Arabidopsis thaliana: one gene and its partners. The protein of the gene in region 2 interacts with the protein of the main gene of each other region in a pairwise test. Each region holds a gene or a part of one and is shown on either strand. Other genes may lie near its edges.

What was found.
Region 1: the proteins of UMAMIT30 (region 2) and RBL2 interact in a protein complementation assay, tested with the Arabidopsis thaliana proteins (one large-scale study listed by BioGRID).
Region 3: the proteins of UMAMIT30 (region 2) and AT1G07860 interact in a protein complementation assay, tested with the Arabidopsis thaliana proteins (one large-scale study listed by BioGRID).
Region 4: the proteins of UMAMIT30 (region 2) and AT1G65690 interact in a protein complementation assay, tested with the Arabidopsis thaliana proteins (one large-scale study listed by BioGRID).

What each region holds. Positions count from the first base shown.
Region 1 is NC_003070.9:23,406,173-23,415,048, forward strand, and holds RBL2 (RHOMBOID-like 2), read right to left. Parts: upstream 4,968-8,876; 5' UTR 4,554-4,967; coding exon 4,279-4,553; intron 3,740-4,278; coding exon 3,576-3,739; intron 3,463-3,575; coding exon 3,299-3,462; intron 3,233-3,298; coding exon 2,882-3,232; 3' UTR 2,632-2,881; downstream 1-2,631. Other genes in the region: AT1G63110 (GPI transamidase subunit PIG-U), read left to right, coding at 76-332, 498-554, 658-826, 932-989, 1,064-1,149, 1,244-1,300, 1,493-1,585; AT1G63130 (Tetratricopeptide repeat (TPR)-like superfamily protein), read left to right, coding at 6,682-8,574. UniProt on the Arabidopsis thaliana protein: Rhomboid-type serine protease that catalyzes intramembrane proteolysis. Can cleave the Drosophila proteins Spitz and Keren. May function in pollen elongation.
Region 2 is NC_003075.7:603,728-612,713, reverse strand, and holds UMAMIT30 (nodulin MtN21 /EamA-like transporter family protein), read right to left. Parts: upstream 4,442-8,986; 5' UTR 4,129-4,441; coding exon 3,944-4,128; intron 3,571-3,943; coding exon 3,508-3,570; intron 3,359-3,507; coding exon 3,242-3,358; intron 3,147-3,241; coding exon 2,759-3,146; coding exon of another isoform or gene 2,723-2,758; exon of another isoform or gene 2,670-2,722; coding exon 2,518-2,669; intron 2,408-2,517; coding exon 2,227-2,407; 3' UTR 1,949-2,226; downstream 1-1,948.
Region 3 is NC_003070.9:2,426,461-2,433,817, reverse strand, and holds AT1G07860 (Serine/Threonine-kinase RLCKVII protein), read left to right. Parts: upstream 1-4,386; coding exon 4,387-4,552; intron 4,553-4,592; exon of another isoform or gene 4,593-4,634; coding exon 4,635-4,876; 3' UTR 4,877-4,907; downstream 4,908-7,357. Other genes in the region: AT1G07870 (Protein kinase superfamily protein), read left to right, coding at 1,975-2,116, 2,475-2,713, 2,811-3,000, 3,106-3,497, 3,577-3,875, 4,440-4,552, 4,635-4,876; AT1G07850 (transferring glycosyl group transferase (DUF604)), read right to left, coding at 5,099-5,218, 5,380-5,925, 6,039-6,441, 6,517-7,073.
Region 4 is NC_003070.9:24,429,118-24,437,242, forward strand, and holds AT1G65690 (Late embryogenesis abundant (LEA) hydroxyproline-rich glycoprotein family), read right to left. Parts: upstream 4,049-8,125; 5' UTR 3,782-4,048; coding exon 3,319-3,781; intron 2,821-3,318; coding exon 2,525-2,820; 3' UTR 2,300-2,524; downstream 1-2,299. Other genes in the region: EXPB6 (beta expansin 6), read left to right, coding at 200-218, 344-450, 827-1,020, 1,229-1,553; LSM8 (Small nuclear ribonucleoprotein family protein), read right to left, coding at 5,346-5,436, 5,528-5,580, 5,660-5,711, 5,993-6,069, 6,413-6,487, 6,581-6,621, 6,717-6,753; AT1G65710 (serine/arginine repetitive matrix-like protein), read right to left, coding at 7,940-8,125. UniProt on the Arabidopsis thaliana protein: Plays an important role in the abiotic stresses-induced abscisic acid (ABA) signaling and biosynthesis. Acts as a positive regulator of ABA-mediated seed germination inhibition. Functions downstream of ABF2/AREB1, ABF4/AREB2 and ABF3.

The DNA of each region.
Region 1 (8,876 bases), on a different chromosome or scaffold from region 2:
TGTATCATTTCTTATTTTATGTTTTTCACGTTTCTCAAATTAAACAAATTCTAACTGCTCGTGCATTTCCCACAGATAATCTTTCTATTGGGATATGGTTTGGATGCTCCTCCTATAAAATTGTTCCTTCAGACCAGAAGTGTAGAAAATGAGGAGAGTTCAACCTCTACTGTTTCTAAACAAGCCAAGTTGAAACAGACTACGCACCTTCCTTTCTTATGGAAAACAGTCGCACACTTCTTGTTCTGGGTACTTCTGTGGTCACTCTATGTGTTGATTTTATGTGCCTTATCACTGAATAAATATGGTGGGCTTGAGGAGATGTTCAAGAGGTAGCCTCTAACTTAGAAATCTTATTCATAACCGCTATAGGATTAGTTTCCGTTAGCCATATTATATCTATAACTTATATTCCAAATCATATAATTATTTATTAAGAACTTGCAACGTAGTGTTTAGGCGATTTGATGTTTGTTTGTCTTTGCCTCCTATTGTAGGACGTATGGTTTCATTCTTAGTATTGAAGATCTTTCACCAAACATTGGAGTCTTTTGGTAAGTAAAATAAATTAATATGGTGATATCATTGGGTGATGAATAAGGGATCCCTTCTTTTATGAAAAGACTATTTACTGTTCGTTTTAAATCTCGTTTTCAGGTACTTCTTTGCAGAAGTATTCGACTTCTTCAGAAACTTTTTTCTGATAGTTTTACACGTAAATATTCTGTTCATGTTACTGCCCTTAGCCATAAGGTTGAAACATCGGCCATGTTTCCTGGCTTTCATATACTTAGCGATCTCCTCGATTCTTAAATCTTATCCTTCAGTAAGTAGTTGAATTCACTGTGAACTTGAAGTTATCTTTTCTTCTTTGAGGAATTATATTCATAAATGTTAACAATGCTTTCATCATTTGATTTACTCTCAATAGGTCGGAGATTCGGCGTTATACTTGAGCTTATGGGCATTGTTTGTCAATGAGTTATTAGGTAAAAGCAAATACTTCACATCCTCTTAGCATTGTTTAGCCTTTGCATATAAACTCTGCTTCTGTTTCACATAGATATGAAGTTCTCGTTCTTCCTCTTCTGTGGATATCTCGGGATCTCTCTCCTCAGCCCTGTGATGCACAATCTCTGGATATGGCGGGTAAGCTTCTACTCAAATCCATAACCCAACTCTTCACAGCAGTTGCAACAAAATGTTCTAATGATCACAACTACCTTTGATTTTTTCATGACAGGGAACCGGAAATGCAAATTTCTACTTTGGAAACGCTATCGGCTACGCGTGCTTTCAGGTAAAATATAGGCCTGGATCCATTTCAAAATTCATTATTCTATTCAGTAGTTGGGAGTTGATACTCATATAGTACAAAATTTGATGATATCAAGCAGAGGATGATGAGATCATCAGTTATTGATCAAAGAATGTTGTAGTTTTGGGTTATCTTGACTAAAACCCGCATACGGGTTTCTGCTTTTCTTTACAGATCGTTTTCGTGGTTGAGAGCGTAAGCGCAATGCTAAACCATGACAGGGCGCTGAAGAGATCAAACTCAAACCATCGAGAAGTCAAGAGCTAAGCCATTGAAGGTCATTGCGCCACTTTTCTGTTACACGTAAAGAAAAGAGTTGGGTCTTTAGCTTAAAGTTGGCAACATGTGATTTGTGTGAGTAGCTTTTCTTTGTTTGAGAACATCATATAAATAACAAATCTCCTGTGCCTTTCCGTTTAGAGTAACCATTAATTTGTACTTTTTACCGAGAGGTTTTAAAGTTCTTGTTTTGATCCGCAAAGCACACAATCATCCCTATATTTGAAGTTACATCGCATGTATACAAGGTATTATCATTTGTGAATGGTGGATGATTAAAGGCATTGTCTATGTCCCGTACTTTATCCTTATCCACTGCACCATTAAGGCCTAAATGACACAGTGCAGGAAGGTTATTGGGTGGTGTTTGGTCATTGTTTTCTTAAAAGTCACCCATTCACAATAAATGAAGTGTGATGCATTATTAATTTATTTGTAATATCATAAAAACTTGTAAAACCCACGTGGTACCAAAAACAAAAATCAGACCCTAACCGTATAACTGTATTTCACACTGTTGAAAATATATGTTCAATTCGATCTTGTGACATCTGAAATCTCCTAAAAATTATGCATATATTGCATGAAGCTGATGTATGCATGATTGCATATCTTGGTATTATATATTGTATTGATGGCGTGTGGTGATGGAATTTCATGGCGTTTGGTGATGGAATGCGGTTGTGTATCGGAGCTGACTTCAGCAAAGTTCAAACTTCAAACTGCAGTTTTCCTTCATAGCTCAGTCACAAAATACAGTTTGAAACTACTCCTTTTTCATCTGTTAAGTTAAGACAACTAATGGTTCTTGATTTTGTAATTTTGTTTCTTGGATTTCATCAGATGGGAAGAAACTAGTGGAGGAAATATACTTCGAACTCCTGGATTGCAATTTCCAAATGGCTATCATGTTAAACTCAAGAAGAAAGAGATCTAGAGAAAGAAGAATTTGAAGCAAAGGAAGAATAATAATCTACAAGACCTAAGATGGATACTATAAAGTGTGTACTATAACCAAATTAAAGGAATTTATTTCCAATTACAGCTTATGTTTTACATTAATAAAATTGTTTACTATTTATGTACTTAAAGACAGTTTGAGAAATATGGTGTTCAAATGTAAAAATAATACACTCTTTTATTTCTATCCCCTTTTACACAAGACGAATTTGGTAATGTACACATATATAAATAATCAAAGGCTAGAGAGATCAAAGAGATTAAATGTTAACAAGAACACATATAAAAGCTTTTACTATATGATTATGATGATGATGATGATGATTAGCAGGTCCATTTAGAAGTTGGGAAACAGCTAAGGTAATGACACCATTTGCAATGTTTGTTCCCATTCTCTCCTTTGAAAAGCATCACTAATGCAACCGTTAGCCCAACCACAAGTAGCACCACTGAAACTACAAACAGCACGTACTGGTACATGCTATACTTTCGTTTGGTTCGCGAAGTGTTGGTGCGGGAAGCTTCCCAACCGTACTGAGGTCGGACAAGGAGGACAAACCCGAGGCAGAATCCGGTTAAAAACCCTCCAATGTGTGCAAAGTTGTCAACCCGAGGAAGCATGCCTAATGCTAAGTTGATTGCGATGATGAACAGAAGTGTGATCAGAGCAGCCGCCTGCCAAAAGAAGCCGTTAATCCTAAGTTCCGGTTAAGGCGCGTATAGCGAAAAGGGCATAAGTACCTTGTTGGCATAGATAGTCCAATTGGTAAGAAGTTCAGATAACATTGCTCCAAGAAGTCCAAAGAGAGCACCCGAAGCACCAACAGAGATACTTTCTTGAAGGAAAAGCGACGAAAGTATGCTTCCACCGAGACCCGATATTAAGTATATCAACCCGACTCTTACTGCACAGTAACATTCCCGCGATAAAGATCAAATGTTTCACTTGGCGATTAAACAAAGAGAGTCTAAAACTTGACTGAACAATAATTCTTGTACACGTAAAGGTAAGACTTACTGAAGCCAAATTGCTGCTCAAGGCGGATACCAATGAAGATCAAACTCAACATGTTTGTAAGAAGATGAATGATACCAGCGTGAAGCCACATACAAGAGAGAAGTCTCCATCCTTGATGTTCATGTACTACTTTCCTCCATTCCAATGCTCCCATTTTCTCCAATCTGATACAAGTACATATCCGAGTAAAACCAAATCAATCACAAACACCATCACTACAATAATTGCCAATGAAATTTACAAATCATAATTCCAAACCAAGCTAAATACATAATTCCAGGAGAAAAATAAAAACTTTGAGAAACCCTACAAGTTTGAGCTCATGTTCCAAGCCACTAACAGACAATAAAGATCAAATTCAATTGCCAAGTTGAAAACACAAAAATTGAGACTTTTTCAGTTTGTTGAAAACAAAAAAAATTGAGACGTTTTAGGTACCCAAAAGATCAAACTTGTTTGCCAGTAACTTAGATTAACAAATTCTAGAATCTCGAGCTTCAACTACAAATTCATTGACGTTATCAGTAAGGCACTAATTGGGTAATCTTAATTACTGCAGAAAAATGAAAACTTTGAGCTCAATTTCCATAAGAACAGACAATAGTGATCAAATTCAATTGCGAATTGGACTCCCAAAAAGTTTGAGACTTTGGAGATACCCAGAAGATGAAACATGAATCTCCAACTTTAAAGTAATACTTACGTTGAAGAAGAAGGACCAAAGAGAGGATTCTCTTTAAGTGGTTGAAACGAGAATCTTCCGAGGAATCTAGCAACACACTCTTTGTTAGGTCCGGTGATTTTCTTAGGACAATCATTAACGAACATAACAGCGATAAAGACAGCGAGATTTGCCACTACAATCGCCGGAATCAGCCATGAAGTCCAATGAGTTTCACCAGAAGACTCCTCGTAGAAATAATTGTTATTAGCTCCTCTGTTTTTCTTCCCTACTCTCTCCACATCTCTGTTCGCCATTACTCTGTTTCTCTCTCTCTCTCTCTCTGTCTATGTGGTTGTTATATAAAATCGAAACTTGGATTAAACGGATCAAATACGAAATTCAGGAGAAGTAGCTTACAAGAAATAAAGGATTAGAAGAAAGAAGAGATTGAGACAGAGTATCAGTAATCAGAGAGAGATTTAGGGTAAAAACTACAAAGTTGTAACCATTAAAATAAAATAAAAACGCTTTTTCACGAATTTAAACCGTTGAATTGATGTTGAAAAGTTAGTGCATCTAATTATTTATGGAATTCTATTAATTATGTTCTTAATCTTTATCGATGTGTGTAGAATAACAAAAAGTAAAGAAGAGTTTTTGGTGTTGTGTCAATGGCGAGTTAGGCGGTGGTGCCAGCTCCTCCTCTCCTAGGTTTTAGTACAAGTTTCTTTTCTGAGTGCAAAAAACAACTCAGACCTGCGACAAGATTACAAAATATATAACTTGAAAACAACAAAAAAACAAGGTATTTTGTTAAAGTAAAAAGAGAAGATAAAACATATACTCCTTTTATTTTTTCTTAATTGAATTTTTTACAAAAAGGGTTTTATTTTTTTATTTTTTTTTATACAAAAAAGTGTTTTTAAAAGATGGATTTCTAGATTTTTTTGCAATATTAATTAGATATTATTGATGAATATCAAATTTCAAGATAAATAATTAAATATTATTGATTTTTAATTATAAAAAAATATAAAACACAAAAAATAATATATTCATAATTAATTTTAATAATATTTTCTTAAGATATGTATTTTTTTAGAAAATTAATTATTAAAAAAGAGAGAAAATATAAGCTAGTACTATTTGTAGTACGTGTTATTTTGTTTTAATTATAGCATGGTATTTATAAGTTAAACTTTTTTTTCTCTAGCATGAAGACTTTTTTTTTCTGACGAAAAACTATATATAGCAAAAGGTTCTACGGTCTCGATATTTAACTATTTATAAGATTTAATAAGTTGCCAAGGGCTTCTTTAGAATAGTCGACTTTTACATTGTGGAACAAACTATTGAATCCAACAAAGACTAACTCTATAATCTCACTAACAATCGCTTGGATATTATTGTCGATCTCCAAGGAATTTATCATCAGGCCTTAAATGGACTTCGTTGCAGCATATTTCAATGGTGTATAAATTTTTGTAGCCTTGTAGGTATTGGTAGAGTTCGAGAACTTTGAGGATTGAAGGGAAGATATTATATGATCCACCCGAAATTTTTTCGTAAAAGGTTTAATATTCCTTGACGTTTGAAACCATATCAATGAAATTAATAAATAAAATATTAGAATAAACTTCAAAGATGGTTATAATTAACCATAATTTATCACTAAGGAGTATATGAAAGCCATGTGTCCAAACCAAACTCGTGTTTAATGTTCTAAACCAATTGTATGTACTTTCACATTCATTTATCAATAAGACTTTTGCAGAGGTATGAATACTTGTCCAAGTCCGTATAATGGGAGAAATGTTTGGGAGGTGATACAAATAGATGTGTATATTTTGCAAAATGAATGCATACTTTGGTTTTGTTGACATATGATTAGAAAAAATGATAATGACCAAACTTGTATTGTATCATTGTATCATATACAAGTGGAACCAAACAGATATAGATCTTTACAATCCAAGATATAAATTGGTAAGGTCCACGCGGTTTCACCTTAATTAGAAAGGGACATCTCAGCAATAAAAAAAAAAATGAAGGAAATATAGTTAGACAAATATGGAACCAAAATAGCAAAACTTGATAATCTTCTTTGTTTTTTTCATATTTATTTGCTAATGCTGGCCTTTCAATTTAGAACTAAACCAAAAAAAAATACATTATGTGATTATAAACCAAACCGGTGATAAAAATGATAAGATGAAATCTTGACCGGTCAAATGATCCAACGGTGGTGCGAAACTGGATGAATATCACTCTCACTCTCTCAGCCTATGTGAGTCTCTCTCTCTGTTTGGTTTGGTAGAACCAAAAGTTCAAACCTTTACTCTCTCTGTCTGCAAAAGGTTCATCATTTAGGGTTTATACAAGTTTACAGAGAGTTTACGATTCTGAATCAGTGATTTTGGAAGAAACCCCAATCAGCTGAAGATGAGGAGATTGTTTGCGATTTCATCGACGGGAAACAGATTTGTTCATCGGAGTCTTCTCGGAAAAGGTAAATGTGGAACTGCTCCTCCTTCCTTTAGCCATTGCAGTTTCTGGGTACGAGATTTCTCTGGTGTTAGATATGATTACAGAAAAATATCGATAAATAGGCTAAATGATTTGAAGCTAGATGATGCGGTTAATCTGTTCGGTGACATGGTCAAGTCTCGTCCTTTCCCTTCGATTGTTGAGTTCAGTAAACTGTTGAGTGCCATTGCTAAGATGAACAAGTTCGATCTTGTCATCTCTCTCGGCGAGCAGATGCAAAATTTGGGAATTTCACATAATCTTTACACATACAGTATTCTCATCAACTGTTTCTGCCGACGCTCTCAGCTCTCTCTTGCTTTAGCTGTTCTTGCCAAGATGATGAAACTCGGCTATGAGCCCGATATTGTCACGCTTAACTCTCTGCTCAATGGTTTCTGTCACGGGAATAGGATTTCAGATGCCGTATCTCTTGTTGGTCAGATGGTGGAAATGGGATATCAGCCCGATTCATTCACATTCAACACTCTAATTCATGGACTTTTTCGCCACAACAGAGCTTCAGAAGCAGTGGCTTTAGTTGACCGGATGGTTGTGAAAGGTTGTCAACCAGATCTGGTTACTTATGGTATTGTAGTAAATGGATTATGTAAGAGAGGTGATATTGATTTGGCTTTGAGTTTGTTAAAGAAGATGGAACAAGGGAAAATAGAGCCTGGTGTTGTGATCTACAACACTATCATTGATGCTCTTTGCAACTACAAAAACGTGAATGATGCACTCAATCTGTTCACTGAAATGGATAACAAAGGAATTAGACCAAATGTTGTTACCTACAACTCCCTCATAAGATGCCTTTGTAATTACGGAAGATGGAGTGATGCTTCTCGACTACTCAGTGATATGATTGAGAGGAAAATCAATCCAAATGTAGTCACTTTCAGCGCATTGATTGATGCATTTGTGAAGGAGGGGAAGCTTGTAGAGGCTGAGAAATTGTACGACGAGATGATCAAAAGGTCTATAGATCCTGATATTTTCACTTATAGTTCACTGATCAATGGGTTTTGTATGCACGATCGTTTAGACGAGGCCAAGCACATGTTTGAGTTGATGATTAGCAAGGACTGTTTCCCAAACGTAGTGACTTACAATACTCTTATAAAGGGATTTTGTAAGGCTAAGAGAGTAGACGAAGGTATGGAACTCTTCCGCGAGATGTCTCAAAGAGGATTGGTTGGCAACACAGTCACTTACACCACTCTTATCCATGGATTTTTTCAAGCTAGAGAGTGTGATAATGCCCAAATAGTTTTCAAACAGATGGTTTCTGATGGTGTGCTTCCCGATATTATGACATACAGCATTTTATTAGATGGGCTTTGTAATAATGGGAAGGTAGAGACAGCATTGGTGGTGTTTGAGTATCTGCAAAGGAGTAAAATGGAACCTGATATTTACACATATAATATTATGATTGAAGGGATGTGCAAGGCAGGGAAGGTGGAAGATGGGTGGGATCTATTTTGTAGCCTCAGCCTTAAAGGAGTGAAGCCTAATGTTGTAACCTACACAACAATGATGTCAGGATTTTGTAGGAAAGGTTTAAAGGAAGAAGCAGATGCCTTGTTTAGAGAAATGAAAGAAGAAGGGCCTCTTCCAGATAGTGGTACATATAATACGCTTATCAGGGCACATCTGAGAGATGGTGACAAAGCAGCATCAGCTGAACTCATCAGAGAAATGAGGAGTTGCAGGTTTGTTGGAGATGCTTCAACCATTGGCTTGGTCACTAATATGTTGCATGATGGGAGATTGGACAAAAGCTTTCTCAAGATGCTTTCTTAAAACAGTTTATCCTCGAGAGAAGAGGATCGTGAGGTGAATCAAGTCTTTATGTTGCCTTACTCTGTTTACTTCTCAAGCTACATGTGTGTATTTGGTTGCTGTCGTGTGTGTAAGCTTCATGAAGATGACTGATACTTTGCTTTGTGTAATTCATTGTTAGGTTAACACACACGAGATCAATTTGTGAGCATCAGAACAAGATCTCAGACGTGTCATTATTATGGTTTTACTGTAGTAGATTTGGTTTTTAACCAAACGTATTTTATAATTCTTGTTTTGAATGATTGCTAGCAGTTTCTAGT
Region 2 (8,986 bases):
ACTTTATATATTAAAATGACTACATATAATGGATTTTCGACTTTAATTACTTTTTAAATATATATGTTATGCATGAATTAAGCGGTCGAAATCGTATTCTAGGTGATTCTGACATGTGTTCATGCTTTCTTGCTAAAAGATAAGAAACTGTCGTGGGGTTCGCCATGCAAAAATGCGAAGCCATTAAATATAATTAAGCAAACGCAGCCAACGAAGTAAATAACCACGAGACAATTTCAAACATATTTTATCACCATAATTATCGTCTTTTTCATTAGTTTATGTTTTATTTTAACCGTTTTTGTATAAAGCACACGAATTCCGTAATTATGGCTGCTATATAAATTCCACGGTCAAACAATCAAGCATGTACAATACATAAGATTAAAATTCAGCTCATTAATATTTATTGGTAGTATGTGATAAATTTATATAACATGTTTTTTTCTAGTCACGGATTTCACGCAACAAATGTAGAATTTGAAACTTAACGTGAATCTTGATTTAAAATATTTATGCATTAAATGTATAGTCAAAATAGATCAGGTACAAAACTTAAAGTTAAATAAAAAAATATTCTAAAGCAAAATAAAATATCCATGATTTGTGAATTCATTCAATAAGAATGACGTGGAAAAGAAGCTCGTCATGATTACACATTCCAAAGTGTCGTTGTGGGTGTTATTAGACTAGTAGTTTTACAATAATATCTCAGTAGCCATTAGTTATCTTGACATCATTTTAGTCAAAAAAAAAAAAAACATGACAAAACAGAAGGTAACTTAAACACTCAGCGGTTAGGATATCTGGCTTTCACCCAGGAGACCCGGGTTCCATTCCCGGTAACGGAGCTTTTCTGAAGATGACAAAAAAAAAAGAAAGTAACAAAACACTAAGCACATAAATGGTTATGGTGGAATGAGGAATTAATGAAGAAAACGCCGGAAACATCTCGGGGAAAAAAAAAAAACTGGCGTGACTTTGAAAATGTAACGGAGATTTTAAAAAATTTACACTAATTACGTAAATTAATTTTTCGAATATTTGAGTTTGGACATCTCAGAGTCCTAGGCGATTTTGTTTGATGTATGGAGTTGAAAGTGACGAAAGCAAGGAAGACTCTTAGTTGTTGAATGCGAGGCTGCTAAGCAAGTGAAGAGAACAGGTGAACAAGACTTTAAAAATGATTTTTATTCTTAATTTGTTAAGGAACTTTAAAACAAAGAAGAAAAAACCATGCTTTAGAGCGAGCACTTTGGTAGAGACCCCTTGTCGTGTATAACGATGCGACATTTATATATACTGAGTATTTATTACTATATATAGTTCCTGATTTGGTGACTGCTTCATCATATATATTTGCATATTATGTGTTTGGATCCTAAAAATCTTTTTGAAGTGATTGAGCTTTCACTCCTTTCGTGTGCCATCTCCTCAGCAGTATTGTAAAGAAAAAGCAAAGCAATAGCGATTTCTTTTTCTGGTGGGTAATGATTTATAAACAAAAAAGAAATATTTAATAAAGTATATAAAACATGAAAAAAATAAAGTACGAAGATGTCATAGTAGCCCAACATACCCTGTACTCGCCTTTTAGGAAATAAATAACTATTCGTGTTTGTTAACATTTGCAATAATAGTCATATTTACAGAACAAAAACATTGAAATAATTTGATAAAAAAAAGAAAGAACATTGAAATAATTTCCATAAATTCGGAGTACGTAATCGACCGTTTACTAATATGACTCTCATCAATAAGGACGTCAAAGTATGTCACACCATCCACGAGAAATCGAGAATCGAATTATGTTGAAACTTAGGTATTGAGTAAAAGAAACCAAATAAAGGTATTGAAAGCTCACAAGAATCTATTGTAAACTTTAGTTTTTCAACTATTATTATTTTACGTTATTTATTTTTTACGTAAAAAGATGCAGATTGAATAATTTGTTCTGTCAATTAAGGTTATATTCGATACTGTTTATTTCTGTTTTTCGACACTGTTTATTCACATAAACAAATTACAGTATCCAAATGAATCCCGTAGGAATTAAAATCCCCAAAAAAACTAAACGTTGCAACACAAGTACGAAATTGTCCAATAAAAGTATGAAATAGTCCAATAAACAATGAAAACGATCGTTATCTTCTCTTCTTCATATTTCATTTTTTGAAGACATATCGGTCATGATTCTTGTTGAACAAGCGTGTTTAGGGAAGTAGATCAAGGAGTCATCGGAATAACCAAAAGTTGACCGTTGTTAACATTTGTACGGCCTTCCTCTTCCTTTTCTTCTTCCACCGTATTGGTAGGCAACTTCATGATCTTACACTCTACTATTTGCTTACTCCTACTCCATAGAAATATATATAAACCGATCACAACCACCACAGATCCAATAACGCTACAACAATAATAAAAGTTTAGTCCATAACATGCACATGATATAATATATTCAAGAGGTTTATATAGTTAAAATATAAAGTTAATACAGTTAGATTTTTAATAATATACCTTCCCAAATAAATCTCACGATGAAGAATCAAGAAATCGAACACGGTTGCAGACATAAGCACGACAGGACTAAATGATGAGGAAACGACAGGTCCTTGTTGTTTGATACACCACGACATGCCCACCGTACACATACCTTGTGCAACCACTCCCTATAAACATATATTAACAATAGATCAATATCTGATTATTGTGTGGATCCAAATTATTTATATGTCTGACGAAACATTGTCTTATATACCGCTATAACGACGGTGATGATGGTAAGCTCATCTCTAAGGATCCAATCTTCCAAATGTCTAGTCTTAATTAAACTAAGAAGGGCGCATTGAAGCGTACCAAAGACCGACAAAATAACGGTACTCGAGTATGGACAAGGGTATTTCACGTTGATCTTGGCTTGTATAAGCATCCAAGAACTGAAAAGAACAACTCCGGTCAATAAAAAGAAACAACCTTTGATCCAATTCTCATGTCCTGTGTGGTTATTTGAATTTGCTGCTTGTTCTGGAGAGTTTGTTAATGGAATCCCTTGATACATAGTAAGAAGTAAACCTCCTACTAAGCTTATCAAAGTTCCAAGAACGACACCGTATCCTATTTTTGTTTTCAAACTTAGCTTTTCGAACCTGCAAATTTTATTTTTTCAAAATAAAAAGGTGTAAGATTACACTTGAGATGATAGCGTATATGGCACTTTTCTTTATTTTAACAATAATTGTACCCAAATATTAAAGCCATAACGAAAGTGAGGGAAGGCATTATGGCCCAGAAAGCAGATCCCAGCGTTGCAGACGTGTAGGACAGTCCAAGCAAGTAGAAATATTGCATCAAGCTCGCCCTGAAAAAGAAAGATTTATGATAAACGATTATATTTCATTTTATCAAAAACAAAAAAAAATAACATCTTACATAAACATACAAAAAAAGCAATAAAGAGGGAGAGAATAGAAAAACATAAGGATTTAGTGGATTAAAACCGAAACTTACCCAAAAAGGGCACTGACGAAAAGCTGACATGAGATGCTTAGAGTTAGCTTTGGTCTTGTTTTCCTGAACAAATCATGAAATCGAATATTTATTTTGTTAGGCACACACAATTCTGATTCTATATCCGTACATAGAAAAACATTCATGAAACTCTCTAGTATATACTCTTTATTGTTTTCAAGTTAATATTCTTTTATCTTATGAAATAAAATAAATTAAATAAAGTAATTAGCCAGAAAAAAAAAGATAGAGATGAAGCATCAAACGTGATATTTGTGTCTTCTTGTATTTTCACAACATAGTAACCAAAATTCAATTTTTTTAAAAACACTGCCACAAACTTTTAAATATTTTATTATTTTATTAAGGCATAACGAAATGTATAAAAATCTGAAAGCTACGAAAATAAAAATCAAAGAAGAAGTAGTAAACGTACCGTTCCCAAAAATAAGCGACTGGAAGAAGGAAAAGAGTAGATATACCCAAACGATAAGTAGCAATAACCATATGATTGATGCCTCCATCAAGAACTTTCTTAACTAAAGCATTAACCATTCCCGCAATCATGTTAGAAACAATTAAGACTATCATTGGTGCCCACTTTCCATCGATAAAACCCATGATTAGTATAAGTTAATTACTTAATAACCAAAATGATATCTCTTTCTTTCTCTCTCAGTCTCGCTCTCTCTCTTAGCTTTTACTCTATCCTTCTCTCTCTGTCTCTTCTTCAGAAACTTGTTTGAGTAGTGAAATATTAAGACTAGAGGTGGATATATTTATAAATAACATGGATGTTGAGTTGGAGCCCATTTCTTTCTAAAACAACAAAAAACAATGAAAATATTTAAAGAACGAGTAGGTATTGAATTCTTTTTTAACTATGAAACAAATTATAGAACTACTAAGTAAAGTTCTTTAACAGAAAAAAAAAAAAAACTATTAAGTAAAGTTATATGAAACATTTGTTTTTTGAAATTGTAGGTATAGAATATACTGTTTTTCTCGGTGGAAGGGATTAGTAATATATATATATATATATATATTTATATGTAACTGTGATGATGTATATACCACATATGAATGATGTTTCTATATGTATTAAGTTATTAACTATATATTTGTTATAAACTATGCGGGGGCATGCTAATAGTATATATTTCTAAAGATATTAACTATTAGGTAAATGATATACGGGTATGTCAAACTACAAAAAAAAAAATACAACTAAATACTAGGAAATATAAAACTAACACCACTACTCAGTAAAGTTTAGTGGTGTCAAAAAATTATAATTAATTTCTCAATATGTTAGATTTATTTAAGTCACGACTAAATAATGGTAATTAAAGACATAAAATTAAATTAATAATATGAAAATTAGTTTTTTCTTTTCTTATACAACTAAATCTCATACAAATACTCTTCTAAATTTAAAACAGTACTATAAGTTTATAACACAACAGCTTCACTAATAAGCTACCCACCCCGGTCCATAACTGAGTTTGTCGTCAACTTTTCTTATTATATTTATCGACTATATATGTAGCACTAATCGAATTAAAAATTGTTGTTTTGCTCACGTTGTTAATTACGAGTTCAGTGTAATCATTTTAACAAAAATTAAAGAAATGGATAAAACCCAATCATTTCATCAAATGAAAGCAAAGTTGCCTTTGTACCGAACAATTGAATTAATATTTCCCCCAAAAAGAAGCAAAATTATAATTTAAAACATACTTTCACTATCTCTATAAACTTATAAGGTATACGACACATTGTAAATTGACAAGTACACCAAATTCTTTTCTGTTTAAGATTTATTAATATGTAAGCTTACTGATGATAAGATAATTAGATTTCCTTTTTCGTAAATACCAGATTTTATAAGCCCAATTGGAGCCAAACAGCAAAAAATTAAAATTAAAATATGTTCGTAATGTCATAATAAACTATAAAAAATACAGTTTTTTTTAGAAAAGTTTTATCAACCAAACTCCGATGGTTTCAGATGACCTCCTTATTTTTTTTTTTTTTTGGTTCCATACTTCCAGATTAACCACATAATAAAAAAATAAAAAATAAACTTTACTACTACTTGCATCAAAACAAATTACCCAACTTTATATTGAAAGACATTCAAATAACACATGAATAATGTTTCTTCCACTGGTCACATAGTTGATTTTTTTTTTGAATATAAGAACTGTAAATATCATTTCAAAAAATGAAAGTTTAGGATTTAATTGGTCCGAGAAATTTTTGTAAAAAACATGAAAGCATAGACATTCGAGGATTAAATCATCAACGAAAACCATAAGCGGTGAAGCTTATGGCAAGGCTACATTTGAAGTTTTTTTGTTATCACACATCCTGAAGCTAATTGACAATAAACTTGTTGCCACCTGCCAAATAAAATGTTTTAATTTTGCAAGAAAAAAGATTTTCCCAATTATACTTTTAAAAGCATTAAAGTTTTGTCTCCAACTATAATATTCAGAAGGTAAAACTCACGTAATAGAGCAAACCATTAATATGATTTAACAGTAAATTTCCCAAATCCAGTGAAATGCCATGTACTGTATAGTTATCATGTCTATATAAGTGTAAGCTAAATACCCCACCCACGAGTAAAATGTGTATCTGTCATATCCAAAACCTATTCACTCCCACCAAAATATATCATAGATCGCACAACTGAAAAACGTATTTGATTTGAGAAAAATTTTTATCCATAAACTATTCACTCCCACAATCTCTGACTTCCAGTAGTGGAGAGGGAGACTCTGAACGCCTCTAAGTGAGAAAATAAATACAGTATTATGTTTTTCAAATAAACATCGATAGATAAAAGACATTAGTGTGGTGTGTTTTCGTTGGCACTTCGACAGTCAATTAAGAAAATGGGACCAGGTCATTCTTTGGAGAGCTGAATAGTAGAAAATGGTTTCGTCTAATTAATCTGTTATTTGTTGTAAGAAAAACGAAATAAATGAAACAATATTGATAAATAATCTAAAACTTTTAGAAAGTAAACCAATGATCACTCAATGTAGTGATCATTTACGGTGAGAATATATATTACTTTCAATTAATGTGCTAAATAACAAGGTACTTGTAGGTTTTATCTAACCATGATTCGAATCAGATACCTTCTTCAGCTCAAGCCATTCAGCTGTATTGTACTAGATTATTGGGACCTCTTGATGGTGATCGAGAACTAAATGTTGGCAATGTGGATATGGTACAAAAAAGGTTAAGATGCCATTTGAATCTTCTAATACGGTTGTTTGATTATGACCTTTGAGAGAAGCTTCTAGCTGTAGAGATCTCTTGACAGGAGGTGAGTGTCTTTTGAGAGAATCTTTCACGTAGCCATGTGTGATGTGTCACACAGTGTGAGTTCCTGTAAACGGCAAATTATTCCTCAAACTTTACTTATGATATATTCGTTTAGTTCTAACAAAAATTATACGATAGTGGCATATAACCTTAACAACTATCCAAAAAAAAAAAGGATATACAAAGCAATTTTTGTGTGTGTCTTTACTCTTTAGTTCCATCTTCACATACTCTAAAACGTTTCGAATTGTATTTACTTCTCTTGTTCTTCGTCTTCCTCATTACCAAAACATATCTTGTCGACTTTACTTTACTTTATGATTTATTATAGCCTATAGGTCACTATTTTCTACAACAATATAATATTTTTTTCATATTTTTTTATTTATTTGTTACACGCTTTACTACATTTTCTTTTGCCGTCTGGGTGCCATATATATAGTTGCAGAACACTAAGAGTCTAATCAACTACATGATTCAAGCAAACCGGCGCTCAAGCCCACAACTAAAGCAAAAAACATAGAAAACCACCATCTACTACATTATTGTTTGGGTTATGAATTTCTGTTACTCTTTTATTAGTCTAATATTTTATATATTCTTCATCAGTTGATGACTTTCTAATATGTACATTTTGAGCAATAAAGCTCCTCCAGTGTATATTAAAAGGCCCAACACCATCCCTAATTTGCTTTTCATGTCTAGCTTCTCTATCCTGTGCCCAAAGAAATGCGTTTTAGTGTGAATTTACTTTTCTAGGTTAGAATTGAAATTCTACAATCCTGGACATTTTATTTAGTTAAAAGAATACTAGAGCCATAATGATGTCAAGAAAGAAAAGAATACTAGAGTCTAGTGCCATAACAAATCTAACCGTATATATGCGTCATGCTCATAAAAGCACATGCTAACGTAGCTGCCTCATGTGTACGATTGCCTCAGTAGGAAGAAATACTGAGTCAAAATTGCCTTAAACTAGGAAAAGATACAACATATATATTTTTTTCCCCACAGGAAAATACAACATATTATATTAAGAGTTTAGGCTCAAATTAGAAAATAACAAACCCAATAAAGAGCACTGAAGTTTATATATAAAAAAGAAAAAAAGAAAAAAAAAACAAGAACAAGAGAACTGAAATTTTTTGAGCGTTAGTTTTGATCTTGTTTACTGATGCATAACATCTTTGGTTATAAACATTGATTTTTGGAAACTTCGGGTAATCCGAATCCAAACCCGAAATATCCGATCCGAACCCGATCCGAATCTCAAATCTTAAAATACCCGAATAGGTTTTATACTTCTAAATCTAAAAATCCGAAAATCCGAAAAACCTGATCCGAACCTAAACGGATATCCGAACGCCCAGACCTACACTAAATTATCAATCTTCTAAGAACCGAAGGAGTATATTTTAATTGTAAATTTTCAAAAGAAGAAGTACAAATACAAGGCCCAAGCCGACCACAGGCCCAAAAACACAAAATACAAGGATGTCCAACTACAACAAGAAGAGAATAAAGCGACCTGGAAAATACAAAAACAGCACCAGAAACTTACTTTGCCTGAAACAAAGAAAACCACGTAGCCAAAAGTGAAGAACCAAGAAAAGCAGAAGATTGTGCCCTGTAAAAGGGGTCAAGACGAGCTCTGAGAATCAATTGGATCTCCTTTGTGATAAGAGCAGGAGATGTACTGATGTAGAGTTGTCACTTGTCAGAATGAATCCGCAGATTGCGCTCCCTCCAAATACGGTACATGGAGGCTCGAAGATGAGTTTGATGATTAGCGAAATATTTGATACCATGAGTTTGCTTCTTCCACATTCTACCAAAACATTTTTTTTGTCGAATTTACTTTACTTGTATATGAATTTTAATAGGTCACTATTTTCTACAACGATGTGACATTTGTTTCTACTAATCGTTTAATTTTTTATGTTATTTTTTGCTACTCTTACTACATTTTCTTTTGCCGTCTGAGTATATACTTACATAACCCTAATAGCCCAACCAACTACATAATGAGCAAACTGGCCCAAGCCCACAATAACTAAAGTGAAAGATTGAAAACCAGCTGATTAATCTGCATATTTATTTGGTTTGGGTTATGATATCCTCTTACTCTTTTTATATT
Region 3 (7,357 bases), on a different chromosome or scaffold from region 2:
AATTTTCTTGTTTTATATTGATAATTTGGTATATGATATTAGTAGATAATTTGAATTGGACCAAGCAAGTCAACATCATTGCATATGTATTTTTAATAATTAAACGTGAAAACATCTCCGAATGAAACCGTTTGCTACAAAAGCCAAACACGTCTTGGTTTACGGATGCTGGTTCCAAAGAATTAATAAACAATATCTTTGTTGAACCATACATTTGTTTATAGATTATGTTCCTTTCTTAAATAATTCGAGCTGTCAAACTAAGTTCTAATTTAAACTTATTTCAATCCATTGTTGATTAAAATTTTGATATATTTATAGAAAATCCATTTTCTTAATAAAAAGGAGTTGACTAGGTTTTTTAATGCTGGCCCAAGAGGCCAACAGAAAGGAAAGTCCACTTTTGTGCTTATTATAAATTTACTGAAACAAATATCAAAATAGTAGGTATAAAACATTTCAAAAACTCTACACCAATTGATATACGACATTTTTTTCCAGTTAAAAATGCTAATTATAGCCGAATACAATACAAATTGTAATCCACCAATTAATGTTATATACATGAATTCTTCATTGTATTAAAAAAATGAATCTTCACTTTATCTAGTTGAAAACTTAATGCAAACTAACGAGCAATGGGTTAAATGAAATGACTCATCAGACGTTGGGCCATCGTGGGCTTGGAGTAAACTGAAAATGGAATATCAATGTTAAACAAATTTCTCGATTACTAGAATAATAAACACCAAAAAAGTTTAGTGAGTAAAACATTTTTTTTTTCTTTCTGTCTAACTTACTATTTTTTCGAACAGAGCATATAGCTTTTACTATTTTTGCCAGCAAAGGATGGCCTGTCTCTCATAAAGTTATTTTACGGCCTAAAATGTCAACGTATTGTAACAGGAGTTGTTAATGTACCCTAAACCTTATAGGTAAAAGAAATGAATGAGAGAGATTAAATAATCTTCTCCGAAGAACATTAATATGTGCCACGTGGCGCTATCTGCTGAAACGCGGCACAGTTAATTACTGTACTTGGAACCATAAAACAAAAAAAGCCTGTTATTAATTAAATAATTTTTTGAAAAAACATTCGACAACAAAGCGCGTGGAGTTAAAACGTGGGACCCACAATGACGTCCTTTTTGTTTTCCTCACCTCATTTGAAAATATTTCCAAAACGGTGAGTAATTTTGCCGTCGTCTAACACCGACGTCACCCGTAAGGCGATTGGTGACAGCTACAAAAATGTTACTATCATCAGACTTATCTTTCAATCAAATATAATCATAATCCAATTTAATCTACCATACCTGTCAAACCATCGAGTAAAAAACGTGTTTGTTGTAGCTAATAAAATTTTTAAGACTAATACTGAAAATTGACAAACTAGAAAGATGTTTGGCAGTATGAAAATAATTTTATCAAGAAGTGACATAATCTTTAATCACTCAAATCCATTGCTCCATTAACGCCACGTCAGATCGACGGTGCTTGTTTCCGAACCAACGGACGGTAGATGACAAATTAAAAAGTTGACCATGCTCAAGTGTTTCGTGCCATTACGTGGCGTCTTCTGATACGTTTGTCTTCAACACTAGCCGTACGTTTCTGTTCTCCTCAGGAAGAAACATTTGTCTAGACGTGGCTGGTTTTAATTAGACGCGCTATATGTAATGTACCGTGAACCTTGTCGTAGACGATAACTATACGTTTCTCTCTGAAACAAAGAAAATTAAACAACTTTTTTTGATTACGCGATATAAAAAAAGGCGAAGAAATTAAGCTTTCTCTGTTTGTCACTAAGCTCTCTCTCTCTCCTTCTTCTTCGACTTTTTTTTTTCTTCCTCTCTTCTCTTTGGTTTTTTGGTGTTGGGTTTTATCTGGGTTCCTGATTTCTTCAACGAGGAAGGAAGGAAGAAGAAGAGAAAAGGGACAAGCGAGAATTACTCTTTTCTCCTTCAATTTCCGATGGGTTGTTTCGGATGCAGTAAGAAATCGAGCAAACGATCCGAGACTAACAAAGATACTGTCATAAATAGAAAAATTGTCGGTGGTACTACGAGCGTTGCTAAGAGTGATAAGCGAGACGATCAGACTCAGCCCAGTTCAGGTATCGAGTGATTTTGACTAATTTCGTTATTCTCTCTTCTCCACAAGCTCTCTTTTGGATTTGTTGATTTTTTTTTATCGGATACTTATGTTTAGGTTTTTCTGTATCTGTTACATTTGGGAGAGACATTTAATGGAGATTTTTTGTGATTTTTCCCCGGAGAATTTTGATGCATGTGTACTATTCACCATATAAACGATGTTGGGTTTTTGAAATCGAGCTAGTTTTTTTTGGTTTTGTCTCCTCCATGAGGGGACAAAGTGTCAAAATTGAGCCTTTGGTATCTTGCCGTGTCTGTTTTTGGTTAAGTCACATGATAACTGGTAATCGATTTTGTTACTCGTTCCATGTGTTGTAGATTCAACAAAAGTCAGTCCATATAGAGATGTAAACAATGAAGGAGGAGTTGGTAAGGAAGATCAGTTATCTTTGGATGTGAAGGGTTTGAATCTAAATGACCAAGTCACAGGGAAGAAAGCACAGACTTTTACTTTTCAAGAACTTGCAGAAGCTACGGGAAACTTTAGATCGGATTGTTTTCTTGGTGAAGGAGGTTTCGGAAAAGTTTTCAAGGGAACTATAGAGAAATTGGATCAGGTACTTGTGACAAAGAAAAATCCTATCTGTTTTTATCAATTGGCTGTGAGATTTGTCATAGTTTTGAACGGTTGGTGAAACTTGGTTCTGCTGCTAGGTTGTTGCAATCAAGCAACTTGATCGTAATGGGGTTCAAGGAATCAGGGAATTTGTGGTTGAGGTATTGACTCTAAGTCTTGCTGACCATCCGAATCTTGTGAAGCTTATTGGGTTTTGTGCTGAGGGTGATCAGAGACTACTGGTGTACGAGTATATGCCGCAAGGATCCCTTGAAGATCATCTACATGGTATGTTGTAAGATCAAATTCCTATCCTTTGCCTCTGTATTGTTTGTCTCGCAGCTACCCCCTTTTCTCATCTAACTTTTACATTGTTGTTTTGACTGTTTCAAGTTCTCCCTTCTGGTAAAAAGCCTCTTGACTGGAACACCCGGATGAAAATAGCAGCTGGTGCAGCAAGAGGTTTAGAGTATCTGCATGACAGAATGACGCCCCCTGTGATTTACCGAGATCTTAAATGTTCGAATATTTTGCTTGGTGAAGACTATCAACCGAAACTATCTGACTTTGGGTTGGCTAAAGTAGGACCAAGCGGGGATAAAACCCATGTCTCGACAAGGGTTATGGGAACGTACGGATACTGTGCTCCTGACTACGCTATGACGGGTCAGCTCACATTTAAATCCGATATATACAGTTTTGGAGTAGTCCTTCTCGAGCTTATCACCGGAAGGAAAGCGATTGACAATACAAAAACGCGTAAAGATCAGAATTTGGTTGGATGGGTATGTTTTGTCTCTTGGCTGTGACTCATAATAATCTTTACTGAAACAAGACTCATATTTTCACGGTGCTTTTTAACAGGCACGACCATTGTTCAAAGACAGGAGGAACTTCCCAAAAATGGTTGATCCATTGCTTCAGGGACAATACCCAGTTAGAGGACTGTACCAAGCACTAGCAATATCAGCAATGTGCGTTCAAGAGCAGCCTACCATGAGACCAGTGGTATCTGATGTAGTATTGGCTCTCAACTTCTTAGCCTCTTCTAAATATGATCCGAATAGCCCTAGCAGCAGCAGCGGGAAGAACCCTTCTTTTCACAGAGACAGAGATGATGAAGAGAAAAGACCACACCTCGTCAAGGAAACTGAATGTGAAGGGTCCTCATAGGATATCCAATAAGAGAGTGGTAAAAAATCAAATCTAATTTTGGCTTCACCAAGAAATTGGGGAAAAATATAAAACCAACTCAGGTACATTTTTAACATCTATTGTGGATGTAAATCTTGACTCGGCTTCTTTGTATGTAGAATGTTTCTGTTCTGTAGAAAAGGAAAAAAAAAAAAAACCATTTTGTTTTGGGACATATATACATATATTGAACAAAAACAAATATCGTTGGTCATATATATATTTTCCCGATCAAAAAGTCTGGTAAATTAGGATTAAGTAATGTCTAAAAATTCATAATGATGAATGGCAAAAGTCGTAAATATGTAATAGAAATAGGACTATGATCACGTGATGCAACTTATCCCGCGTGAACCCGTTAAGATTTTTGCCGTTAAATAACCAAAACCTAATCCAAGAAGGCTTCACAAATCTCTTCTCTCTTATCTCTCTCTACTGGTTTTGTGATTCTTGGAAGAGAAGCTACAAGATAAGACAACAATGGCGGAAAGATCATTCTCTCAGCTCCCGATCTCTTCTTCTCACATTGGCAGAAGGACAGGAAACACCCGGAGAGGGATATTTCCGGTATCGGAGTATTGGATCCATGCAATTCCGGTGATCGTTTTTCTCTGTTTCTTCACCCTCTGGATTTTCTCCCACTCAGGTTCCTTATTTCTCCGATTCTTTAATCTAAGAAAAGATTTTCCCGAGAAAATGAGTCTTTCTGATTTTGGTTTTGGTTACAGTGAGCGTCATGAACGATGGAGAGATAATGTCGATACATCGTCTTGAGAAATCCATGGCCGTGAGAAACGAGTCTCATGTCAGTTTAGCGATTCTTGCTTCCTCTGCTGTTTCACCAGCCTCCTCAGCTCTCGTCGCCGTCGTCTCTACCAATCAGAATCTCACAACTTTTCACAACGCAACTCAATCGCAGCAAAATGCAACCCAGTCGGTGAACAAAGCAAAACAGCCACACGCAGTCTAATCTCTGAACGGAGAAAAGTTTCTTTCAGTTTCTTACTGATTTCTTTCATGAACAGATAACTTTCAGGGATTGAATTTTTCTTTTCTTTGTATTTGCTTCAGTTGAAACAATAGTTTTTGATTTAGGATTGAGAATTGTTTGTGAACGACGATACACAGAATGTTTTCAACAAATTGCATAGTCATTTGAAGAAATCTTTAGTGAGTATATATCTGAATCTTGTTAATGCTGCTGAGGATGTTCAAGCTCACTGATCTCTCCATCTGCGCAATTTCCGACCCAAATATACATCGTTTGGTTTCTCCTACTCGGCAATACTCTGCAACAATCCCTCCTCGGTGACTGCACCAAACACACAATTTTAACATCATGTTATTTCAACACCGGTTTATTATATGATCTCAGCCGGTTATCTCTGTCAATTCACTAGCCAAAACCAAACCGGTATGACTATATTTGATGCAAGTTGTTAATAATGAAGCAAAGAGAAGATGTGGACCAACCTTGTGCCATCGGAGGGGATCAGGTCGCTTGAGAACGACGACTGAATCGATCTTTCCAGGCGAATCGAGCCTCCATCGGCACCCGGGAATCCGCCTTGTCTTGTCCAAGTTGTAGTATCCAATCACTTGGCGACGTCCTTCATCATACTTAGCCGAGTTTAAGTAAAACACAAATGGTCTTTGGCACGGATGCCTCGACACTGGTCTCGTGTTAAACGCGTAACCAATGTAGTCGGCTTTGCGGAACCAGTTGAGGAATGTTCTTGAAGGCATCTCAAGTTCGCGAGGGGATATGATGCCTCGGATTATCTGGACTACGAAACCCCATGAGACCGAGATGGACCAGAACCGGTTCTGGTCGTAGCAGATGGACTGCTGGAATATGCTGGCTGGGTCAAGAACTGCTGAAGACATCAAGTGTCGTAGTGCACGTGACCGCTTCATCTTTGGGAATATCGGCTGCACCACATCGATGTGGTGCAGCGACACCAAGGGAGCCACTGGGTGTGCACCTAATAACCCCAATAAGTCCCCATAAACATCGTACTGCATACATAGAAACATTAAAATTAGACGTATTCAATCCAGATAAACCGTTCTAATCCGAACCGAAACCAAACCGAAGTAATTAAACATCGAGGAAACGTAGAAAATGACACCTGGTGAAAGCCAGGTTCTTTGGTGAGGGGTACACCAAGTTCAGTCATACAAGCTTGGATGCGATCATCACTGCCGTAGAGACCAGGATACCGTTGGATGCAACGGTCCTGCATCCGCAAGAGCTCGAGGGCTAGAGCATAGCTGATGGCGAACCCACCGCCTCCAAATGCCATTGAATATGAGAAGAAGATGTTCTGAACGTGAGCCTCCGAGGAGCTACCAACGTAGTAGAACTGAGTGTGGTCGTACTTTGAAAGGACGTTTACCACATTGTCCACCACAAACACTGTGTCGTCGTCTCCCATCACGAACCACCGTACACCTTTTTTGCCTAGCCGAAGCGTCTCCGTCACTACTCGAGATATCCTCACCGCTGATCTGTCCCCTACTGGATGGGTGTACCTAAAACATGACTTCTTGATTTGAATAAGAGATTTCTTGTAAAACACGTCAGATATTGTAGAGATGAGTAAGTACCTGAACCGTGAGGTGTCTTGGGAGATTCTGATTTCTGGAAGGGGATCGTTTCGGTAAGTTCTGACTCTCTTGTCAATCCAGACAACGCCACGAGTTTTACCAGGTCGCCACCATGATTTGATGTACTCTTTTCTCGTCTCCCACAGAACAGAGGACGCGGCAATCCCGAAAACGATGTGATCAAGCGTCGTGTTGAACATCCTTGGTCGCTGCGGGTAAAGAGCGGGGACACGTGGAGGCACATCGTCGTCTTCTTCCTCGGGAACAACAGAGGAAGATGAGTTTGCTTTGTCGACTAGGGACAGGTGGCTGTAGGTAGAAGAAGAGGGACGGCAGGTCTTGCGTGAGCCACCTCCTCCGGTTGTAGAGATGAGAAGCAAAGGGAGGAAGAAGAGGAAGATGAAGAGCCATGGCAGAGGAGATCTTAAGAAGCTTAGGTGAGAGGTCCGAGCAGAGTTGCTGTGGTTTTGTGCTTGGTTTCTTTGGTGGTGATGATCTTCTAGAAGTATGTTCTTAGGGTTGCTGAGATTGGTGTTAGAGCTCGAACTGTTTCCCATCGCTAATGGGAATAGAAAAGAAATAGATCGACACTACTTTGTTTTGTTTGTTTGTTTTCAATCAGATTTGGTGACATCTCTTTTTATAAATGATAACGAAGTTTCAGTAGTAACAGGCTAAATTTAGCTAAAGAGAAAAGGTCTCTTCCTAATTTTACTGCAAGAGCATGACCATGAACCAATACTAAAACTGATAACAAGTTCTCACATTCACCACTTTCAACATTTAATCATAAAAGCAAATCGAAAATTTGTATCTTTTTCATGGCAACAAAATTGGTGCA
Region 4 (8,125 bases), on a different chromosome or scaffold from region 2:
GTAATTCTGTTAGATCGGAGATAGAGAAAGAGAGAGAATTGTAATCAAGTTCTAGAGAGAACTAGAGAGAGAAAACTTGTAAAGATACATTGTAAAGAAAGGTTCTAGTGGATTTCCGGAGAGATTCTCCGGCGAGACGTAGCGATTCCGGTTGAGGAACGTGAACTCGTTAAATCGTGTGTGTCTTTGTTTCTTTAAGTTAGGCGCCGGTAGCACCGGTACTAACAAAATTACATATTTGTAACAATATATATATATATACACACATACATTTTAGAATAGTAAATTCTTTATATGAATATATATGATGCTTAAATGTGTATATATATATGGTTATATATAGGAGGAGCTTGTGGTTTCGCAGTGGCTAATCCACCATTATACGGGATGGTTTCAGCTGGAGGTCCTTCAGTGTTCAACAATGGAATAGGATGTGGAACATGTTTTCAGGTTTGTATGAATGTATATAGGGCAAGACTCAAGAGCATAGTGTTACGTATGTAACACAGAATTTATGCCCTTTTGGTCAGCTTTGTTAATGCTTTTTAGGTAATATATTAGTTAGAATAGTATTTTCAGAAAAGATGATACAATTTTATATATATGTAGCTAAGATTGTTCATAAAACGTAAAAAAAAATTGTGTAATTATATTCAATAAAATGACCAGTTCATATGTCTTTTTTAATTAATCAGAATGAACATTAAAAATTTGGGTTGGAAAAAAAATTGACATAGCATGCAAGATCTGAATGTATGTTATATGGTTACAACAAGATTTTACTTTCATCAACTATATAGTATATGTTAACATTTTTATTTATCAGATTCTATGCAATGGGCATCCAGCATGCTCGAGGAGACCAATAACGGTGACGATAACCGACGAATGCCCTGGTGGTCCTTGTGCCTCTGAACCAGCCCACTTTGATCTTAGCGGCAAAGCCATGGGTGCCTTAGCCAGACCTGGCCAAGGCGATCGACTTCGATCGGCTGGTGTTCTACGTGTTTACTACAGACGGTACTTATATACTTACATAATTTTTGTTTTAAAATTTTTCCTTTTAGTATGTATATCTAGGTTTTGAGTTGAATTTTTTTTTTTTGATAAATCAAAGAAATCAATGTTTTCATTTTTGTTATTATCTTTACAGAAATATTATTTAATTAAAATTCAACTATTTTCTATGATATACGAATCAAAATATTGACTATTGTTTTTTGATCAGCGTGGAATGTTTATATCGAAGAACTAACATAGCTTTCCGTATGGACCCTGGAGCAAATCCGTACTACATTTCATTTGTTGTCGAGTATGAAAACGGTGATGGAGATTTGGCCTATATAGAAATTCAACCAGCCGACGGAGAATTCATCCCCATGCAAGAAATGAGGTCTGCTGTATGGAAGATCAGCTCTGGCAGTCCTCTAACAGGACCATTCAACATCAGACTTACTTCTGCTGAATCTCATAAAGTAGTCCTAGCTTATAATGTTATTCCGGCGAATTGGAAACCTAATGAAACTTACCGTTCAGTTGTGAACTTTAAGTAGAGTTTTCTTTGTCAAATTTGAAATCCGACACATTTCATTGTTTTTCTCTAGTCAAACTACAATATACAAATCTTTTTTTTTTTGGCCAAATAATATACAAAGCTTATGATATAGTAACGAATAATAGAAAGATATATGACTTACCACCAATATGAGCGCATATATTATATTTTTTGCCATTCTCTAAATCTTTTTTCATCAAAAGAAAAATTATCGACATTATGCTCATTCTCTAGCCAGTGTTACAATACCTTTCAAAGGTAGCCTTCCTCCTGAAACTGGTTGTACAACTACAAAGACTTCGGTTTGGTATATAACTTGAACTAGGAATTTGTTTCTTTGTACTTTTGATTCAGGACCTTACTTCATGAGGATAGTTCTCAAATTGTTACAGAGGACTGTCACAAGTTAAGTACATGAATCTTCTTTGTGTAAGTTCTTTTAGCGTTTCTTTTCTACATGTCTCTCTCTTCTCGCAAAAATTCAGTTTGTTCTATATATCTATGTCTCTTTATTATCTCTTTCATGTTGCTTGGAATGTCTTACCATAAGGTTTATTTATTGAGTTTGGTCTTTGCTTTAGAATACCAGAAGTAATTGTTGGAACAAGTAAATCTAATGCAAATTTGAATTCATAACTAAGATCTTGGAGTTACCTCCAATTTAAGTTGTAAGTAGTTAAAACTGAATTTTGGAGTCTACCTTCAACCAATTGTTTGCTTAAAAGAAGGTAAGGTGGAGTGGTGGACATGCTCTGGTTTTAAAAACTTACAACTACTATACTTTGAATTCCACCTATGTACATAGTATTGTATACTTTAATATATTAATTTAAACCAACAGTTTATTATACAACAAAGGTCTGAGACACAATAATGTACTTTAGAGGAGAACTATATATGAGTATGTGACTATATCTGACAAAATTCCCTCTGTATATCTCGATATTAATTATATAAAAAAAAACGGATCTATAACCTAAGACGAAATTTGCAACTACTACTTTGAATCTTAATAACATTATTGGTAGCCAAGCTATCAACAAATACACCACATCTGACCAAGAATCTTACTTCGAAGAGCTTCAACTTCCCAAATTTGACCCGAACCGGTTGGTTTACTCTAATTCTCAATGGTATATTCCCGGTTCTTTGTTGTTGCTCTTCTAATGTCGTCCTTAAACCCGATGCATTTTGTGTTTGACCAGTCATTTCTACGTATATCACTGTCGTATTTTCATGTCCTTGGTAAAATTTTGGCAACGACCCTATTCAAAAAAATCACAAAAGTTCAATGAAGTTAAATCTATAAGAAGACCCGGTTTGAAATGGTGTAAACGAATTATAATCAAACAAGAAAACCAAACAACATAAATAAATATGTTTAGTTTTGGGGTTTTCAGTCCGGATAAACCGGTATGATCCAACTCTACCAAAAACGATTGATTTGAATGAATTAACTCTATTATATCCGAACTATTGAATATGAACCGAACAAAAACTATCTAAACCAAATTTTGTTTGAAACTAAAGATATACAGTATTTGACAATCCTAATCCAAAATGAAAGTAAACCCAAAGCCAACCAAAAAAATTTAGACATCCCTAATTTGAAAAGAGTTTTAAAGTCTTCCTTGTGTACGAACCAAACCAAAGGAAAAGAACAGAAATCAACCAAATAAACCGGTTTTGTAGTGAGATTTTGAAGCCTTCCTACGTTAAAAAACCAAAAGAAAGCAAACCGGAGTAAACCAAAAGTGACGTACCATTGCTTAGTTGATGTTCCATGTACCACACGGTAATCTTGCTCCCATCTTCATAATAAATTCCAATCTTCTCGTTCGGATTCTTAGCGGTTATAGTCACGTTAAAAGCCGTAGTCAAACTCGAGTCTTGGTTCAGTGCAAACCGGGTGAGCTGTAACCGGTCAATAGAGTAATCCGGTAGCTTCGGTTTAAAGACAAGGTATAGTATACCAATGGATGCGCCTACTGCAACGACAAGAAGCAAAAGAAAGCAGAACGTGTAGCAAAAGCATCTGCAACAACAACTTCTTCTCTTCTTTGGAGGAGCCAACGGCACGAACCGTTGTGGCCTTTGGTTCAAAGGGACTTTGGATGGGTCTCCATGTTCTGATCTAGAGGAACCACGAGGAACCAAAGGAGCTGTTGGACGCGCTGTTGCGGCTTCTGGATCTTGGACCGGATAGATTTTTTGGTGTTGAGACATTTTTGGAAAATCTTGATGACACCAAGAAGAAGAAGAAGCTTTGTTTGTAGATCTTATTTAGGGGTTTGGGAAATTAATATAAGTAGGGACCTTATGGAGTTTTTAAAGTCAAGAGGGAAGAACTTTTCAATGGAGAGACTTCTCTATATGAACCTATAGATTATGAAAAACAAGTACATTCGCTTCCATACAACACATCACACGTGTAATGTGAATTTGCGTGTCTGCTTAGGTAGCGGTCTTTTATGGAAATTGAGTTTGATGTGAACCCATCAAATAAAAAAAATAAAAATCATTAGTAGGTATCAAATTACTTGCAATATAGATGGAAAAATTAGGATGACTTTTTGGAAAATACATATATTGTAGTCCTATACATTATCAAACAACTAAAAGTTATATCCACTTAAGATATTTTCCAATTACTATTTGTTTCTTTTTATTTCCTATAATTTTTTCTATTTACTCTTTTGCTCTTTCATGTTTACTCTTCTTGATTTATTTATATTTCATATATAAATGGTACTTAATCTACAAAATAAAATTTCATATATTTACGCCTCGCATTGTCTTTGAGAAAATACAAGTTTTTAATATTTAGATCGCATATAGTTTGACTAATAGGTACATTATAAAGTCAAAATACATTTGATGAAGATCTACTTTACTTTTGTTGACCTAATCCCCTAAGACTTATGCAGCAGTGTTCTCATGCATTTCGTCATGAATTTTTTTTCTTTTACTTTTTTGTTAACATGCTTTATTTTATTATTTTTTTTGCAAATAAAATTCCATTCGAAATCCCTAGGCCCCAACGATGTTAATTTATTTGTAGTGTTTCTGTTTAATATTAATCGTTATCAACGAAAAATTTTTAGAACGCAATTCTTTTGTTCTTCATATTAATAACCAAAAATCAAAAGCTTCTGATAACACTTACTATGAAAAATTTCAAGAAATAAATCACTTAATATGAAGAATATTACATTGGAATCGTAAAAGAAGACCCAAGACTCCGATGAAATCAGAAGTGTTTGGTTTTGGCGAGTTATTACCAAAACCAACGACTTGTATGATGCGACTATGGGAGAATGACATATTAAGTTAATATCTATATTGTTGTCTTATAGAAAATGTATGATGCTTCTAAGTTTTAAATACGGCCATTTGTTGATGTTGATAGATTTGATGATGTATATAATCCTTCTAGATGAAATTGCAACGACATTATAATTTGTAAGATACCAGAAACTAATTCCTCTTTTTTTTTTCTTTTGCAATTTGAATATCTATAAAATTTTGGTTAACAATAAAAGTTTTTTTTCTAATCAAAGAATTTGTGGTCTAGTAGCAAACCTAGGTCCGTCCAAAAGATTGTATGATTTAAGTTTCCGACCAAAACGTTTAAGACATAAAATATCATATAGCTTTTGTCCTTAGGATACACAAATAAGACAACTCCAGACATCAAAACAAACTATCCAAATTGTTTACAATCAAATCTTCTCTTTGTTTTTAGGCTTTGAATGAGAGAATTAGATTTTCTCACCATAACTATATTCAATCAATGCACTACGGGTTTCAACGGATGGGCTCTCAGCTTCGAAAAATCCAGACTAGCATCAAGCTCCTCGTCCAGCTCCCCGATAACACCTCTGATCAAAGATGACACCATTTTTTTTATTGAAACAAAAAAACAATTGCAATGTTAGAAAATCACTGATGATGATGGATGATAAGAATTACATGTTGTCCCCTCTGATGATGTACAAACCCAACACATGTTGTTGTACTCCTTCCTGCAAAGATGAAGACATAGTAAGAGGTCTCAATCCTAATTCCAATATCCATCATTTTAACAGAACTCTGCCTTCACACCAAAAATATCCAAGAACATTTGTCTAATGAAGTATCAACATGACCTGACATACTCTTAGTGTAAACAAGAAAACAGACATGAATCAAACCTTTAACCCTCTTACGAAAAAAAGGAGGTGATCATGTATAATTAATTACACACTGCCAATATCTACGTATTTGACTTACCTATCACTAGCTAAATCTTTTGACATATGAACTCACAAGATTTTTTCAATCAGTTATAACACTCGAAGAATACTAACACTAAATCTGTTTCGGTGTATCCAACACTATCTGATTTAGATACTTCCATTCAGAGGCCAGTTAGTTCATGATTCACTATTCTCTTACCAAACAAAGAACTGTAGGACAAGGCCTATCTTAAATATCTGAGTAAGTTTCCTCAATATTCTGTTGAAAAGATGACACTACGCAACTAAATCAAGCAATGTACATTATTAGCAAGAACGTAGTACCAATTAAAAGATCAATACCAGACGACGAAAGATGCTTTGAGTGACAATGAACAAAAGATAAACTAGCATCCTTATAGTACCTCTATTTTTCTAGTTTTATGCGATCACTACAAACAAAATATGGAGACATCGAGAACTCTGCTACATCATAGCCACTCATGGATACAAACCAACAAGGTTTTGCAGGTCATACACTGGCCAATTTACTTGCAGAAAAATGTATTTGCACCCATTCAATTTAGTAACATCGAAAAGTTCAGATGAAAATACTTTAAAACAGGAATCAGAAGCTAACCTTTGTGGAAAACACACGTTCATGAGATTCATCAAGGATTATATTTGTAGCCTGGTCAAAACCTTTAAGAACTCCCTGAAAAAATATAAAAATCGATCTCTTTACTAAGATACTTGCATTGACATAAGGAGTTCTAAACCAGATATCACACAAGAGAGTATAACATACCACAATGTTGCGTCCGTCATTTGTAATCACCGAAATAATCTCTGCAGCAACCAATCAAAAGATAAGATCTTTAGACAATTCATGTGACAGAACATCACATATCAATCGAGAATGGCAAAAAAAAAGACTAACTTACGATCGACGAGAGTCTCAAGTCCAGTAGTTGCCGCCATGTTACAGTTCGGAAATTATTTGAACTGAAAGGTTACTAAAAATTAGACTAGGAATTTCATCGAACACTTGGTGTGCTTACGGATAACAATGAAAAATTAATAGATTTCGTATCCATCTCAACGAGAGATTTCACCAAACTTAACATAAATCCAGAATTACGAGAAACAAATGATAATTCCAGTGTAATTTGACCTAAATTAAAAGAAACCACCGAATAGAAAACGAATGTAAAACAGGTTCTGGTTCACCGGAGGGTTTCAAGGAATTCAGAAGAAGAAACGTATGAGGGAAAAGCTCTAACCTTTGCTGCTTCGGAATCTGAAAATCGTTACTTGGCGGAGATTCTGATTGGTAAAGAAACCCTAAAAACCTTTTCGTCACTGTTGTTCTTAGAAAACTCTCCGGCGTGTGTTTTTGCTTTTGGATGTTGCTTTTAACTACGAAATGTTAAAAGAAATACTCAAACCGAACCGAACATTTTATCCGGTTTAGTTATTTTATCCGAAACCGACAATTCTGAAAATTTTCACCTGAACCGAACTGTTTAATCCACCAAGTATGCATGGTTCGGGGTTCAGATCGGATTCAGTTTAGATTTTTTGGATTCATCCGATACAAAAATTTAGTATATATTTGGGTTCTATGATTATTTGGTTCGGTTTTTGGAAAAAACTACATATTTTTTCAAAATTTTAATAAAAATTGAATTACAAAAAATATATAATTTTGTCATTTAGTTTAGGTATAATACTAAGAATTTTCGGATATTTTGGATATATATAATATATCTAAGATATTTTTGGATATTTTTGTTAATTGGTTAAGGTATAATTATAATTTAAAACATCTAATAATTTTGAATATGTAGATATTGTTTCGATTTTTCAGATATACTGTTTGGTTTTTGTTTCTGTTCGGGTTCAGTTGGGATAATTCGTGTAAAATTATTTAAAAGTCTCTCCGGTTATATGATTATTTGGTTTGGTTTCGGGTCCGATACAGGTTTTTTGGGTTTTATGCCAGACTGAAGATAAGAAGAAGATTCATTGAAATTGTCAAATTGACATCTGAATTACAAAATAAACCAAACAAAGGAAACAACAATAGACAAACAAAACAACAATTTCTCCATATTAAACCGCAACAACACGAGTTTCTGTTATTGCTAAAAGTGAATCTCCCTAGTCACGTAACATTGTTGCTACCAGATGATTCCTCCAACGAACCACCACCTCTCTTCACAGTCACATACTTCTCAAAACTCGGTTCCATAAGATCGGCTTTCTTCACCGTCGATGTGAATCTAAACCGGCTCGAATCAGACCTCAAACAAGTTCTGTTCGTCATAGAGTTAAGATCAGCCACTGCTTC